Linked DNA regions of Lonchura striata. The protein of the gene in region 2 purifies or fractionates together with the protein of the main gene of each other region. This does not show direct contact. Links are inferred from orthologs where the notes say so. Each region holds a gene or a part of one and is shown on either strand. Other genes may lie near its edges.

Region 1 (8,266 bases), on a different chromosome or scaffold from region 2:
GAGATCCTGGCAGAGGCAGATTGGATGTTTAAATCCTGCAAATAGATTTTATCCTAACATCTTTATAGGAAAGCAAAACCAAGCTTTAACCCTTGTCTCCTCCAGCTCCAAACCCCCTTTGCATCCCATGCCAGGATCATCAATGAGTGCAGAGAAAAGCCATAAAGGCAAAAAAAATAGGAACTTTTGGGGGAGAACTGCAGGGATGCAGCCACAGTTATGCAAAACCCACAAAAAGAACCCAGCAGACCCTCAGAGTCTATTGCAGAACAACACTTCTGCATCCCAGCACATGCTGTGGATGCTGAACCTACTTCCGATGTCCCTCTTGCATTCACCAGCCCTTATCTCCTGGTTTTTTCACAAGTCAAGATAGTTCATGCTTTGCAACCCAATTGTTTGTTAAACAGCTTTCTTTATTTTCACAAGGCAAAAAAAGACTCCTTAGTGTTCCCAAAGAGTTTGCTGAGGGGGAAAACAACAGTCCAGCCTCTGGGGAGCAGTTGGCAGGATGAGACCCCACCACCACACCAGAGCAGCCTCAAGGCTGGGGTTTCTTTTAGCCCTGAGACCCTGCAGAGAGGTGATTTCACAGGCACTGTTCTTTTGGCCAAAAAACCCCAACCAAACACTCTGATGCTTTTCTTCAGAAATATCTGTGTATCTACCCTTGCCACCCTGCAGTGCCGTGCCTCCCCTGTCTGCCACGACCGCGGGACGCGACCGCAGAGACCACCGTGCTCCAGCCCACTCCAGAGCCACTAATCCTCAGGAAGCCAGGAGCTGCTCCTCCCGAGCTCCCCACGTTTCCGACTCTCCCCACCTCTCCTCCTTCTCCCAGCCTCATTTATCTCACACCCAGCGAGCTCGCTGCCAACCAAGAGTTTATGCAGACAACCGCAAAAGAGCTGGTGCCAGCCTCAAATGGGCTTCTCCCCTGGCACCCTGACATTCAATTACAAGCGACAGGCATGCACAGCAGTGCTAAGAAATTTAAATTTTAAAAAGGTTAAAAAAACAACATTTCAAACTCTTTTCCCGGTTTTTTTTTTTTTTTCCAAGATGATGTAGTATTAGGCTTCTATAAAACTTAGAGAGATTTTTAACCAACCAGTCCATCTGTCAAGGTTCACTGGGATTCCCAGGCATCAGGGAGATGCTGTGCTGGATCCCAGCCTAAATCCCTAAAAATTCACCCAGGGGTGAAGAAGCACTGCCATTTCCAACTGGAGCCTATGGTTTTCCTGGCTGATTCAAGCAGCACAGGCCTGCACTGTGCTGCAATCCCTTCTGAAGTTTACTGCCATAGTTTTAAACCCCTACTTTGTGCACAAGGTGGCTTAGACAAATTATATGCTAATTGTTATAGGGGTAGCAGGAGGCACGGCACACAAGCAACCCAAAAGCAAAATGCATGACAAAGGCAGGAGGCTGTTTCCCCGATAAAGGAACTATTTTGCCATTTTTTATCTCTTACACTTGCATTGAAAAAAATCCACTTACCAGTTGGTTTGAGAAAATCCATTGGATATCTGGAGTAGGGTGGAGGGGGAGACTCTGGAATTAGAGAAGTACAGAGAAAATAAAGGCAGAGCCATGAGAAAGAAAAAAAAAAAAAAAGAAAAAAGATAGGAACTTATGATAACAGTGGCATTCTTTTAGCAAAACTGTTTGTCTTAGCTCTGGGGGTTGGAGGCAGGGCAGCGAGGCGGTGATTGCCTTGATATTTAGCTGTCAGATAAACAAAAGGGGCCGTCTGGCGCCAGTCTCCCTGCTATCTGCCGCTCGGGCTGTCTGATCGGGGCCTCCTTGGCTCGGCGGAGCCGCGGCAGCGCCGGGGCCGCCCGGCCCTTAATCCCCCGGCACCGCGCGGGGACGGCGGGGAGGCAGCGCCGGGGCCCCCGGGAGGGGAGGGGGTCCCGGAGGTGGGGGCGTCGCCCCCTCCCCTAAATACAAAATGAAATGCATAAACCACGGCAACTGAAAGATTTTGTGCGTGTTCTGGGTTTTGTTGTTTGTTGTGGGTTGATTTTGGTTTGTTGTTTGTTGGGGTTTTTTTCCCCTCCAGAAGGGGGAAAAAAAAGTTTTGTGGGCCGGGAGGTGAGTGGGGCTGGATCCACGTATTTCTGTATCCCCTCCATACATGCATCCCCTGCATGCCCTCCAACCCCTACATACCTCCAGCCCCTGGATCATCCCTAGCCCCTGCACTCCTGCATCCTCTCCATCCCCTGCACCCCAGCCTCTCCATTCCCCACATCCCTGTATCCCGTCCATCCCTTGCACACCTCCAGCCCCCGCGCCGCTGCACCTCCTCCATCTCTTGCATGCCCTCCAGCCCCTGCACCCCTGAATCCCCTACAACCTCGTGTGACCTCTATTCCCCTATATTCCTACATCCCTCCAAGCCCTACACACCTCTAACCCCTTCAGCCCCCGCATCCGCCGCCATCCCCACCGCCGTACCTAGCTCGCAGAGCCGGCTGAGGTGGTGCGGGTTGCAGCAGACGAGCTCGGAGTGAGCCTTGCCGTAGGATTCACAGCAACATAGCCGCTTCACTTCGGAGCAGTGGCGGAGGTCGGGCCAGCGGAACACCTTGCAGAGCAGCACGGGCAGCGGGTACCAGTGCTGTCCCAGCCGAGAGTCGGCCTTGGCGGGCAGCAGCAGGCAGGGGGTCCGCGCCCCGCCGCGGGACTCCACGGCGTGCAGCAGCCCCTCCAGCTGCCGCTCCTTCAGCCGCTTCAGCACGGCGTGGGTCAGCGCCTTCAGTTCCGCCTCCGCGCCCGCCGCCGCCCGCCCGCCGCGGCCCGCCTTGCCCGGGCAGCACCCGCGCCCCCCGCCCAAGTGCGCCCGGGGCTCGGCCACCGCCGCCGCCGCGCCGGGCTCGCCCGCCGCCGCCTCCTCCTCCTCCTCGCCGCCGGGCGCGCGGCTCCGCCAGAGCCGCCGGACGAGCACCGAGCGTTTGGTCCTGAACATGCGGGACGAGAGGAGGGGCCCCCGGCTACAAAACGGGCATGTCGTCCGCCGAGCATGAAGGGGCCGGCAGGCGGGATGCGGCGGCGGCGGGGGGCAGCGGCGGGGGGCAGCGGAGCCGAGGCGGGCTGTGGCATGCGCCAGTCTCCGCGCTGGGGCCGCGGGTCCCGCCGCCTCCCGCGGGGGGATGCGCCGGCCGCGCCTCCGCCCGCTGCGAGAAAATTTACAGAAAAATCGAATTGAAAAGAAAAAAAAAAAAAAATTCAAAACTGAGAAGGAAAAAAAAAAAAAAAGGAGGGGTAAAATAAAGGTTGGGGGAAGGGAAGGGAGAGAGTCGCCGCTTGCTCCGGCTTTGCCCAAAAAAGCAAGGAAAAACCAAAAAAAAAAAAAAAATCCCCGTCTAGAGCCCGCGGCGCTCGTCGCGGGGGCAGGCGGGCGGGGGCTGCCGGCGCCGCGCCGCCGTGCGCGGGTGCGGAGCGCGGCCCGAGCCGCGGGGGAGCCTCGGCCGCCCCGGGGCCGCGGCGCCCATCAACCCGCCACGCCGGGGAGCGGGCGCGGCGGCAGGGATGCGGCGCAGGGCAGAGCCAGCAGGCAAAAACAAAAAGAGCGAGCCAAAAAGGCTATTAAAAAAAATGTTAAAAAAAAAAAAAAAAAAAGAGCCCCAAAACACCAACCCTAAGGTTTGGACGTCGGTTTAAGCATCTGTCACAAAAGAGGCGAACGAGCGCATCCAGAGTGTTGTATCCCTTTTAAAAAGCCCAGGTCGTCCTGATGTGGGGGTTTCGGGGTGGGCTTTTATTTTTTTTTCCCCTCCTTCTTTCCAAAGGTTTAATCCACACGGAGTCTTGATCCGGCTGCTACGAAGAGAAAGAAAGGAAATAAAAAAATAAAAAAATAATAAAAAAGGAGAAAAGTGGGGCTACGTCCCTTCCTTCCTGCCTTCCCCAGCAGCCGCGCCGGGCCGAGCCGGGCCCGCCGCTCCCGGCGGAGCTTACATGGGTGCGGGGGTGCCCGCCGGCCGCCGACCCTCTCCCTGCTGCCGGCGCCTCTGCCGCGGTGCCTTTTTTTTGCTCTTCACTCCTCCTTCCTGCCTTCCTTCCCCTCCTCCTCCTCCTCCTACTTCTCCTCCTCCTTTCGTGGGGTTTTTTTTTTTTTTTTCCTCCCCCTTTCCCCCCCACCCCTCCCGCCCCTCCGCTCTCCGCAGTCAGCCGCCCTCCCCGCACCTCCGCCTTCCCCCGGCGGCGGCGGCGCGGGGCGGGAGCGGAGCCGGCGCGGTGCCTGCGCCCTCGCCCGGCCCCCCCGCACCGGCGGCGGCTTCGCAGTGCGCAGCGGCCCGGCCCGGCCCGGCCCGGCCCCGTCACGTGGGCGTCTAGACACCGTGTCGCTCCGGGGGAAAAAAAAAAATAAATAAATATATCTATATATTATATTTATCTCCAACCGCCTTGCGCAAGAGGCGGCTCGGGTTGCGGAGAGGTTGTGGGTCCGTGCGTCCCCTCCCCGGCTCACCCCACCGCCGCCGCGCCCCGCTCCCGATGCTTCCCTTCGTACCTGCTCCTGGGTGGGGGGTGCGGGGAGACTGGGGTGTCCCCCCCGCACCCCGCGGGGCACAGCGTGGGGAGCTCCCGGGACTGGGGTGTGCCGGTGCTCGCTGTAAACATTGGAATATTAAACCAAATCAGCGTAAAAAATTTAAAAAAAAAAATCGATATGGCTCTGGGTATAGAACGAGGGCGCATCACAAAAAGCAGTCATAATAATGATGATGATGATGATAGTAATAATAATAATAATTTGTGCTGCTACAGCACCTGTCACCAGGAGGACAGGAAAATACACCATGGAGGCTCGGTACGCTCCGATTCCAAACACGAAGCAGCAATGACGGGCGAGTAGCACTCCGGTATTCGCGTTACGGGTGCTACTAAGCGGTAACAACCCCTGGCACCCTGGGCGCTCCACAGATTTCCCCCATTCCAATTCTGGACCGGCAGAGGGTGAGGAAAGCTGAGCCACCAAGAGGCTGCGCTCTCGTCCAGCCTTGCTGCGCCCTGCGGCCGGGCTGGGAAGTCCGGCCAGACTTCCTAGCGCCAGGCTTGGCAGGGCAGCAGAAGTCCCCAGGGGTCCCCGTCCTGCACGCACTCCCACGGAGGAGCAGCTCCTTTTTCACAGAATAACTGCGGGCGGATGGGTTGCTTTAAGGTCACTCTCCGAGGCAGTTATCGTGTCGGAAGTAGGAGCTGGGACTCCTAAATCATGGCTGCTGTAACCAAGTCGAGCTCAAATCCAAAGGCAAAGACATCCAAAACAAATGTTGCACCCAACTAAATGTGACGCTGGGTAGAGCACATATAAAACCAACGTCCCGTGCAGGCAGGGCATCCCTGGGGTGTATCTTCTGGATCCCTAAATTTGGGGTGGGCAGGAGGGCAGGGATAATTTAAGCACCCAGTTGCGCATATATTCACATGAGCAGGTCGGGGATGCCACAAACGGGCCTGGCATTTGAGGAATCTGCACCTAAATTAGTCACAAAGTGGCTAGATTTGGGCGTAGCCTTGTTAAATGTTAACAACACTACACCTAGCCAGGTACAAAATCTGCTCAAAATGCAGATAAATAGTTGAAAAAACACTGGGGAGGAAAGAATGTTATTTGCTGGCATCAGAAAGAATAATTTAGGAAGCTTTGTTACAAAGCTGGAGTTTGAGGAAGGCAATTTGGCTCCTTCCTTCACCTCCAAGTAATTAAAGGTGGGAGCGGAGTCCAGGGCGCAGCTCTACAGTCTTTAGGTGATAACTTGGGGTAAATCATAATAGCACCAGCATTTGGGTCTGTACCTGCAAAAAAAGTCCCATTGCTTTTAAAATTATGCCTTCTGCACCCTGAAAAATGGAAATTGGGTAATATTTTTAGTTCAACACTTTGTCCTACAGCCTCTGGAGTGACCTCACATACACTGAAACTGATTTCCTCACTTCCTCAGAGAACCTCAATTTCTTTTCCCTGTGATGAATATAGAAAATCAGGAGGGGGGAAAAAAGAGTTCCTTCTCATTCCAATATTTGCTGGTGAAAGACATGTTGGACACATTCATTAATCCATACGTTATACTTTTTAATTTTTCAAAACTTGCCAGGCTATTATAAATGAGATTAAAATCTCCTTTTTTAAATTTTCTCCATTGCAGCTCCACTTGCCTCATCACTGACAGCTACAATTACTTTTGTCATGAAGGAAGCAACAAAAAGTACAGTATGCTGTGTGATGTGAGGAGGTGGAGGACAGGAATGGGGTCCAGGAGTTAATATAATTTTTTGTCCCTGCCGTAGGTTCTCCAGGTGACCTGGGACACCTGCCTTTCCCTGTGAGTAGGGACCCGGGCTTTGGCACCTCTGATTTCCCACAGGTACAGCTGGGCCATCAGCGCTTGCCTGGTTTTGTGATCTCTGCAGTGGAAATTGCCCCAGAATTGCTAAATATTAAATAACTGATAAAGAACTGCTTTCCAATTAACCCTGAAAACTTGTTTAAACAGACCATATGTATGTGCCCATATGGAAAATACAGAAACAAGCATAATGAAGCCGATAAATCTGGGAAGGGGACCTGGGCCGAGGGGACGCTTGGAAAGCAGGGTGATACCCACAGCCTGCCCTGCTCTGGATGCATTGCTCAAATGTCACCCTGGGCCAGAAACCTGTCCTGAAATGCATGAAGGGCACTGTTAATCCCCGAGGAGAAATAAAATATGTTTGAGTCATAGAATTCAAGAATTGTTTAGACTGGAAGGGACCTTAAAGCTCATTTTGTTCCACCTCGTCTGTCAGGGCTGGGACACCTTCCACCAGACCGGGTTGCTCCAGCCCTGTCCAACCCAGCCTGGGACACTTCCAGGGATCCAGGGGCAGCCACAGCTTCTCTGGGCACCCTGTGCCAGGGCCTGCCCACCCTCACAGCCAAGGATTTTTTTCTTCCTACATAGTCTGAATCTCCCCTAATTTAGTTTAAAACCATCAACCCTTGTCCTGACACTTCAGGCCCTACTAAAAAAGTCTCTCCCGGTTTAAGCCCCTTTTGAGTGTTGAAAGGATTTATACAATGTGTTACATTTGTATAATGTGTTTGCACAACGTTTTGCATCCCTCCTGCCAAACACATTAGGTCCTGGATGTAAAATCCCGGCGAGCCCACCCTCCCCAGCCCCAGCCCTCCGTTCTCACGGGGGTTTCTGGGGACCTCTGCTGAACCCAGCTGGCTTTGAAGAGCTAAAGCCGGGTTGATTTGCATTGCAATTCAACCTTTGACAGACAGTTGGAGCCAAGGCACTGTTAACCTAATTGTTTTGCTAACAGCACCAGGGTGTGAGACTCACCAAAGGCACTTCCAACAAAGGGGATAAAACCAGACTTGGGAAAAAAAAAAAAAAAAAAAAAAAAGCCCTTTTCCTGACATCATTACCGGGTACAAACAAACAGAGCTGATCCCTCTTCATACACTTTCCAGGCGAGGGTCAATAACAAACACACTTTGCTCTTTTGGGGGTATGTCTCTCCTTTTCACAGCAGTGAAAAGCCAGTCAGGGGAGGTAGGAGAGAACAAGCCAGGCTGAAGGCAGGGGCAGAGGCAGCGCAGGCTGGCTCCTGGCACTCTCCCATCCTTTTGTGCACATTAGGAATAGCTAAGCTTGTGGCCCTGCTTCTATTTTTATGCATTATTTTGAGAGCAGAGCTCTCAAGCAATGCTCAAAGTCTGGGTTGTGAAGCCGTTTTGGCTGTAGCCAGTCTCCTTCCACTCCAGCAGCTCATTTCAGGAGAGCAGATTAAAGCTGAAACCCAAGGTCTGCAAAGAAAAACATTCTTCAAGCAACCTCCCTGTGTGGTGAGTGGCACAGGGAGACAAGGATCCCGTGCTCACTGCTGTCACACAGCCCTGCAAGCTAAAATCACCATTTCAGTGCAGGTGCTTCTGGCTGCTGGCAGCCATTCCAAGGCTGGTCTGTTGGAAAAGGATGCAAAAAAATGTGGGTACAAGGGGGAATTCACAGCACCCACCCCTGGGATGTGCAGAGGGACACAGGCTTGCTGGAGCCAGCCCAGAGGAGGCCACGGAGCTGCTGCCAGGCTGGAGCCCCTCTGCTCTGGAGCCAGCCTGGCAGAGCTGGGGCTGTTCCCCTGCACAAGAGAAGCTCCAGGGAGAGCTCAGAGCCCCTGCCAGGGCCTCAAGGGGCTCCAGGAGAGCTGCACAGGGACTGGGGACAAGGCAGGCAGGGACAGCACACAGGGAATGGCT
Region 2 (7,611 bases):
GTAACATTTCATCCCAGAAAGGAATATTTAATTTTGAAGCAATGTTGTTTTACTAAATATAGGCCATATAATAGTGTTTATAAAATATGAGTTAAAAAAGACTATTAATATGAAAACTCTGAGTTACTCCATTGGCCTTTTTTTTTTTTAATTACTTTTGAAACTGTTTCAGAAAACCTGCTATAACTCTGTATAACTCTACTAATGCTAGTGATACTGTATTCATTTGCAGCAGCTTAAGATCTGGCTCATAATTTTTTAATAGAAACCATTCTGATATGGAATTCACCACCTGAGTATTAAAGAAGCATGTTAATGCCAATTAAATATTAAAAATAGCAAGTAAACAAAAGTGTTTTTCAAAGTCTTAGGTATAAAAGTCTCACAATTCAAGGATACCCCATAAATAGAAGAAATTTCAATATCATCTCTAATATATCCCTACTTCCCTCCTGAAATACCTGGAAAAATGCCAGTTTTACTGGGGGGTAGGAATGCATTTTAGACTCAATCCTGTTACAAGCATGTTCCATCCCGTTACAAGATGTTTGCTCTCCTACTTCCCTTTTGCAAACATCTGAAGCTCTAAATTTGATTTTCATACTATAAAATTAACTACCTCTGATATGGCTTTCAAAAAAATAGCAGTAATGCAAATAGAGCTTGGCTGAATGGAGAAATTAAGTTCCTGATGTTCAGAGACGAACAGTTATTGCATGGATGATTCCAAGGAACAAATTTCTGGTTACAATAACCCAAAGACAAACTACAAATTCATATTCACTTGAACACACTAACACAAAATTCTTACACGGACAACTGCTGTTCTACACTGACATTAATGGATAAAATGATCAATAAATCATTCAAAATCATTCCAAAAAAATCACACCTTGCCCCTTTACTCTATGCAAAAAAGTCAATTACTTCTGTGTAGTACAGACCATGACAGTTTTCTTTTTCATAATTCCTATTGAACCTCTTCATGAATTTGTGGGTTTCTCCAAAATCTTTATGGGAATGTGTCTTGTCTATTTTGCTGTGAAGAATGTTAAAATGAAATTGTAGCTAGTGCTTTTTTATCCAGCCATCTGGTTAGTTAGTAGGCACACCTGGGAACTGAGCTCTTCCGAGACTGATATATGTCCTTTTTTTTCCAGCTTTACTACACTGATGAATTCTTACAAAATAAATAACTATTTTTTTTCCTGTTTTGTTTTCCCCCAAGCATTTGGCAGCTCTAATTTTTATTCTGGTGCCAAATAACTACCGACATCCAAACCTCACACTTTCTGCTCCACAGAACTGTTGCTTTCTGATCAGCTCTTCCTGTCATAATAGAATTCTATTGCACAGTCGAATCCTACAGTGTTTATCAAAACAGCTTTTGGAGCTGTGGGATAGATTATCTGAAAACAGGTCTACTCAGTTTTTTTTATTTTAGGGTGTAGATGAAGATGAGTATGAAAAATGCTGGAACTGTAACCAGTTTGTGTTCTTTTTCCTCACTGAACCTATGACAAGAAAGAAGAGCAAACTCTTGAGCCATGCCCACTTTAAAAAATCTACCCATAGTTTGAGACTGTCTATAGCTGATTGAGTATAAAAAAGTATAATAATAAATAACACAAGATTAACAAAAGCTGAGCTTCTCCATTAAAGTTTTTTGTGATGGGAATCTGCAAAAGTTTGAGGCTGTGGTCAAAATAAAGGCCATCACAAGTTGCGTATGGTTTATGTTAATGAAGAATTATAGAATATATATATATATAAAATTAACAAGAAGCTACACACCTCAAATTTAATATAACTTACAGCTGTGGGACACCATAGTGTCATTCATACCCTGTTCTTTTCTTTTGCCCTAAGCTTTCATGAGTAACTTTGCAGGTATGCACAACCTGTTGACTGTGACAGGGCTGTTAATGAAGCATGAAGTTAGTCAAAGAACTGCACATAGCTAAAGGCAGTAGCTGTTGAAGAGTCATCCGCTTCATGTTATTATGTTTCAGCCAAAATTTGGGATCAACTACTGACCATGAAGGGACCAGACAGGAAAATCAGAGGGCCCAGGGAAAAGTTTGTAGAAGCCCAGGTGTCTGCACACCTTACCTGAAGACTAAAACTAGATGTGCCATTACAAGACATCTTAGAAAGCTACTTAATTCTTCACAAGTGTTTCAGATGCATTTGCTACAATCTCCTGTTCTCCTTTTAGGTTCACCACTTGTTCTGCAACGTGATTTAGGGCCTAACCTTGATATTACAGATGTTAATTCACAGATGTGGGTAACTGCTAGTAGAACAGAGACGGAAAGCTGCTCCGAGCAGGAATCTTGTTTTTTCCAGCAGAACTTTAAGCTCATAGTATATTATAAATTATGATAGGAAGAATACTGCAAGCCGCAGACCCCAAAAACCTATCTAAGGATGTCTTGCTAGAAGCAGGGTAAAGATTACAAAGTGTCACTTTTAAAGTGAGTCAAACAACATCCGCAGTCGGTGCTAGAGGAATGAGTGCTTTTCAGTCCAACTGCTCACAGGCACGGCTAAACTCCGCTCTTCTCAGGAACTCAGGAACCCCAGGTTTTGGTGACCAAGTGCAGACCCACGGCAGCGGGCTCTGTGGCCACGCTCTGAGAGCCCCCCGAGGCACCTCCAGCCGTGGCCGCGGCGGTGCAGGACAGCGGTGCCCAGCGGAGCGGCGGCGCCGGGGCCGGAGCGCTGCGAAGGGGCCGCGGGTTCCCGGCCCGCGCCCCCGGCCCGTCCCCGCGCACGGGGCCGCCACCAGGTGCGGAGCCGCCGCATCAGCTGCGGGCAGGGCCTGCAGCCCTTCCCCGGCCACCGCAGGCAGGCTCCAGATGCCCTCTCCGGGCTCCTCCGGCCCGAGCAGACCCCGCCGATTTCCTGCCAAATCCGCTCCTTTCTCCCCGCTGTTCCCTCCACGGACGGATCTCAGCTTCGGCCGCGAAACCCCGAGATTCCCAGTCCTTTCTTCCCCGCTTACTCTCCCGCAGGGCCATCCACAAACACGCTCACCCCCTCCCGAAATGTTTCCAGCTTCAAAACTTTCTCAGCAGCCGTGTCCCCCGCCTCCCGCCTGTCCCTCGCCGCTTGTCCCGGCCCCAGCAGCTGTCAAGCGGCAGCGCGGGCCGGCGCGCACTTACCCCGGAGCAGAGCGGGGACCGAGCTGCCCATCAGCGCCCAGAGGGAGAGGCGCAGCAGCAGCCGCCGCAGGCTGCTCGGCAGCCGGGGAGTCATCGCGGAGCCGGATCGGCGCGGCCGGCGAGCCGCGGGCAGGGCGCGGGGGCGGCGGGGAGGCCGCGGCGGCGGTGGCGGGGCTGGCGGGGAGCGGGGCCGCGCCGCTCCGCTGCTCGGGACCGAGGGTGACTCACTGAAACTTCACTTCGGCGCTGCAGGGGAAACAGGAAATCTTAAACTTCGCAAACAGCTGGGCAGGACTTTCTTACTCTTACAGTAGTTCCTTCTCCCCCTTCCCACAGTCACCCCCTCCCCTGCTCTCGCCCTTTTTTCTTTCCTTTTTCTTTCTTTTTTTTTTTTTTTTTTCTTTTTAACATGAAACCTCACCCAGCTTGGTGTCAATCATCTGCCAGAGGCCAGCCCCTCTCAGGTCTGGCTCTCCCACCACAAGCGCGTCGGGGCCAGCCCCGACGTGCAGCTGGATCCCTGCGCCTGCCTCCCTCCGAGGCGGGGACCGGGCACAGCCACCCGCCCGGAGCTGCACCGTGGCTTGCGAGGAGGCTCAAGGTCGACAGGAAACCACCAGCTCGGAGGGGTACTACTCGCTCCCTGCGAGTTGAAAAGGACCCAGACGTGTCATCTAGGACATGGGGACTTTGCAGAGCTCCTCCTCGCATCCGTATCCCTGACCTTAACGATGCTGCAGCAGCAGTATCAGAAAGAAGGACGTAACCCCCAGATGAACTAAAACAGGGAGCCGGGGAGGTTGAAGTCAGGGTAACAGCAGGAAATATTCACATAGACTAGCTGGGCACTCAGCTTCCAGATGTTGGAGCTGACTGGAACAACTTGTCACCTGCTGCTTATTTTGCTTCCAAATAGGCTGGTTGTACATTACTTTATCTCCAATCCTGTGTAGGTGACACAAATTAAGTTCGTCTCCATCCCTCTCCAAAGGAACTTCTACCAGATATTTTGCCTTTTCTGCAAGAGGGAATTGCACCTATGATTCAGAAAGTAGGACCACGCCAGTGATTCCAGCTTTTCATGGCCCTGTCAGAGACTGTAAGAACCATTCAGTTTTGAATCTGAATAAAGCTTGAGCTCCCTGCCAGTATAAATCCAGCCACTGCGTAGCCAGCAGTTGTATTGAGAACCATTTCCAGCTCACAGTCTTCCTTCCTCTCCGAGTTAAATGGCTGGGCATTGATTGAAGGGTAAACTGATGCACATGGGGATAATTTGAGGGCGATTGTTCCAACGTTGGTGATTCGCTTTTGTCTTGGTTACAACACTAGTTAGAGATACAGATCTGGGTATTTCAGAAAGAGGGCTAAGCCCTCAGGGGGAATAGATGTAATTATGCTCTGGATGTCCCAGATCATCTCTGTTTTACTCTGTTTGAATTTGGAAATGCTTGAATTTGGAAATGTTTGCGTAAAGAATTTAATTGGCCTGTAACAGACATTTTAAAAAAATCATTGTGCTTTTATGTAAACTTAGTTTTAAACAATCCCTAAATACATATTTTCACCATGAAGTCTCAGTTTATGGTACAAAGTCTCATAAACCTCTCTCCAAGAGCATTTTCCTCTCCCTCATCCTCTTTTTATATAGTCAAGATTCACTCAAACAGGTGGTGGTCGCCACCCTCCAGAGATAAGAAAAGTTGCAGACTCCCCTTTGAGCACAGACGGGAGTGTTCTTATCAGTTCCTGTCCACCAGCTATGTGCTAGAATGTGACTGTGTTTTCAGTATCCACTTAAACAAAAGCATTTCTCAACTCACACAAGTATATACTGCATGCTGTACACTTCTCTCTCCTCAGAGCTGTCAAGTTGCAGGTGCCAAAGAGCTGCTATTTGCTTAGAAAGTTGGCTCTGTGTGCTGAACTCTCCTGTTAGTTTTTGGTGACTACCTTCCAACATAAAAAACAAGTTTAAAAGCAAATAAGTACAGATTTAGTATTACTATTCAAACCTGTCACAAATCAGGTGTGACTTTGCAAGCCTGACTCTGTGTCACTTGCATCTCTCTCCCTCACATAAGTGCTATGGCTCTTCTCCAATATAGCCATATTCTGCCCAGTCTCTCTCATCCAGGGTCTGGCAGTAGGTGAGGGGCTTGCAGTAGATGGAGGCTTTGGGAAGGGCTGCACTTAGGTTTCCAATAGTCTCAAATCCTTGGGTGCAGCCAGGCATCACTGGCCCTTCTCTCACATGAGGTGATATGGCACCTGTTACCCAGCAAGTGAGGAGTCTAGTACAAGTGGACTTCAGGAATTTGCTATTTCCATGTAAGTACTACATTTATTTTTACAGATACACCGTGCAGTGAGGATTGTGCTACAGCTGCGCTTTGGATGTTCAGAGAATCCATGAGAGTGAGAGATGTTACTAGAAAGTGGAAGGAAATTTTACCTGGATATGCTCAGGGGAAGAGTAGTATCATTGCCACTAGTAGCCTGTGTGGAAGTTGAAGTAAAGCCAACTTTGCTTCACAGATTTATCCCAGACAGGCTTATTAGTGAAAACTCATATTTTGCCTTTTTGAGTACTACAAACCTCCCTGTTAGGACCCAAATGCAGTTTAATCAGGACTCCCTGGACAACCAAAATATATGAAACAATTGTAATGGTAATTTCTTTCCATTTCCTTGTTCATAGCTCCCAGTTCCCTGTTTTCAGATAGCAGTTTCTTTTTGATTGAAACTGTGAGTATTTAACCTCAGCCTGATTGAGGTAGAGAAAGAGTCCTCTTCAAGGAGTGGGAGATTAAAGGTGTAAATAATAATCTCCAGCCTGACTGGGTAAGGTAAGACAGCTACTTTCAGTTCCTCACTCAAAAAGGCAAAATATCAAAGCACTGAATATTGTGTTTTCTTTCTGAGCCTTTCAAATATATACTGAGAGCACAAGCAATTTATAACCTCTTGTACTTCAGGGTCTCCTAGTGAAAACATGCTAACTGCTCTTTGCTGCACGTCTTAAGTATGGCTTTTAAAACAGTCCACAAAACTACCAAGTATAAATGATGTCTCTTTGTTAGTCTAAGTATTTTCTAGCTTTCGGTATCTTATTTCTGTCAAAATCCCATGTGAACTACAGCATTATCCTCACAGAAAAACACTTTCAAGCATCTACAAAAGATGCATTGTTACTAAAAAGCTGTTGTTTCACTGTACTTAACATACACTCCATTCAAAACCATTCTGCTCACAGCCACAAGCTGCTGATGTCCACAATAAAGCAATTATTTTGATTGGTTTATTAACTCCAGTGTTGTTTTATGTAAGAATCCAAGAACAAGATAGTTCCCGAAAGCAGAATTAAGTAAGGCCTATACAGTTGCACTAGCATGACATAATATTCATGTCTGTGTAGAGCTGATATTTATGGTGTGGGAAAAGACATCTCAACTTACTTTGCTGCCTAAAAGTTAGCCTTGGACTGAAGTTCCAGGAGATGGCTGTGAAAACCCATTGCCTTTCTCACAATCTGATGGAGCAGTCCTGTTTGTTTCACTGTGATGGGATAGTCCCAGATCAGGTTCAATAACCAAAGGATGGAGGACAAATGCTGGATTAACAGAATTGCCATTATGGTGGCAGCAGGCTATTAGGTCACCCACATTCCCTTGGTCATCCAAGGAGGGAAAGGAGTCTAGATATTTTAATGAGCTGATGAGAGGGAGCGTAATTAGCCCAGACATCTATTTGTTAGGTAACTGATGTTAGATGACATGAATCCTAAAGAAAATACTCTTTGAATTGTATACATCACATAAAGTAAGCTACAAGGTGCTTTACCTGTTGGCAGCCATTGGAGTTAATGCCTGTGATTTTTTGGAATGACACAAGGCAAACAGGTACATAGGATGCTGATATTGCCTTACTGAAACTATTAATGAAGTAACTGGAATAAGTATCTTGACCCAACTAAAAACACTGATGACTCTGGACATGTTGTGTCATAACTACTTTCAAAATAAAAATAGGAAATCTGCTTGAACCACTGACATGCCCCATTTTGATGTTTTTGTTGTGATACAGATTGTGTTTTGTTTTGAAACAGACTATTAGTTTGAATTTTTTTTTTGTTCTCACCATGTTATGTATAAAAAAAAGAACAATGGAACAACATCTGACACTTTGATTTCACTGCACTTAAGCAAAAAGTTTATTTTCCAGACAAATTTTGGCATTTCAGTTCAAATCAAAGTCAAATTTTGTAAGCCTATATAATTTGAAACTCAAATGATAAAAACTCTGTTCACTGCAGTGCTGCATTCACAAAACTGGCATTTGCCTGCTAATTTTCAAAATGAGGGTGCTTGGCATGGAGCATTATCCTTTCAGAATCCTTGATAAAAGGATGTCTTGTGTATCATTGGCTGAAGAACACATTGTC

The links.
Region 1: the proteins of TGFBR2 (region 2) and SMAD7 purify together in Homo sapiens (affinity purification with western blotting; 3 studies listed by BioGRID). This does not show direct contact. The link is inferred for Lonchura striata from reciprocal best matches to the Homo sapiens genes TGFBR2 and SMAD7.

Annotation. Positions count from the first base shown.
Region 1 is NC_134642.1:1,802,653-1,810,918, reverse strand, and holds the start of SMAD7 (mothers against decapentaplegic homolog 7), read right to left. Parts: upstream 3,063-8,266; 5' UTR 2,978-3,062; coding exon 2,467-2,977; intron 1,558-2,466; coding exon 1,504-1,557; intron 1-1,503. UniProt on the Homo sapiens protein: Antagonist of signaling by TGF-beta (transforming growth factor) type 1 receptor superfamily members; has been shown to inhibit TGF-beta (Transforming growth factor) and activin signaling by associating with their receptors thus preventing SMAD2 access.
Region 2 is NC_134603.1:116,137,153-116,144,763, forward strand, and holds the start of TGFBR2 (TGF-beta receptor type-2), read right to left. Parts: upstream 3,306-7,611; 5' UTR 3,262-3,305; coding exon 3,168-3,261; intron 1-3,167. UniProt on the Homo sapiens protein: Transmembrane serine/threonine kinase forming with the TGF-beta type I serine/threonine kinase receptor, TGFBR1, the non-promiscuous receptor for the TGF-beta cytokines TGFB1, TGFB2 and TGFB3.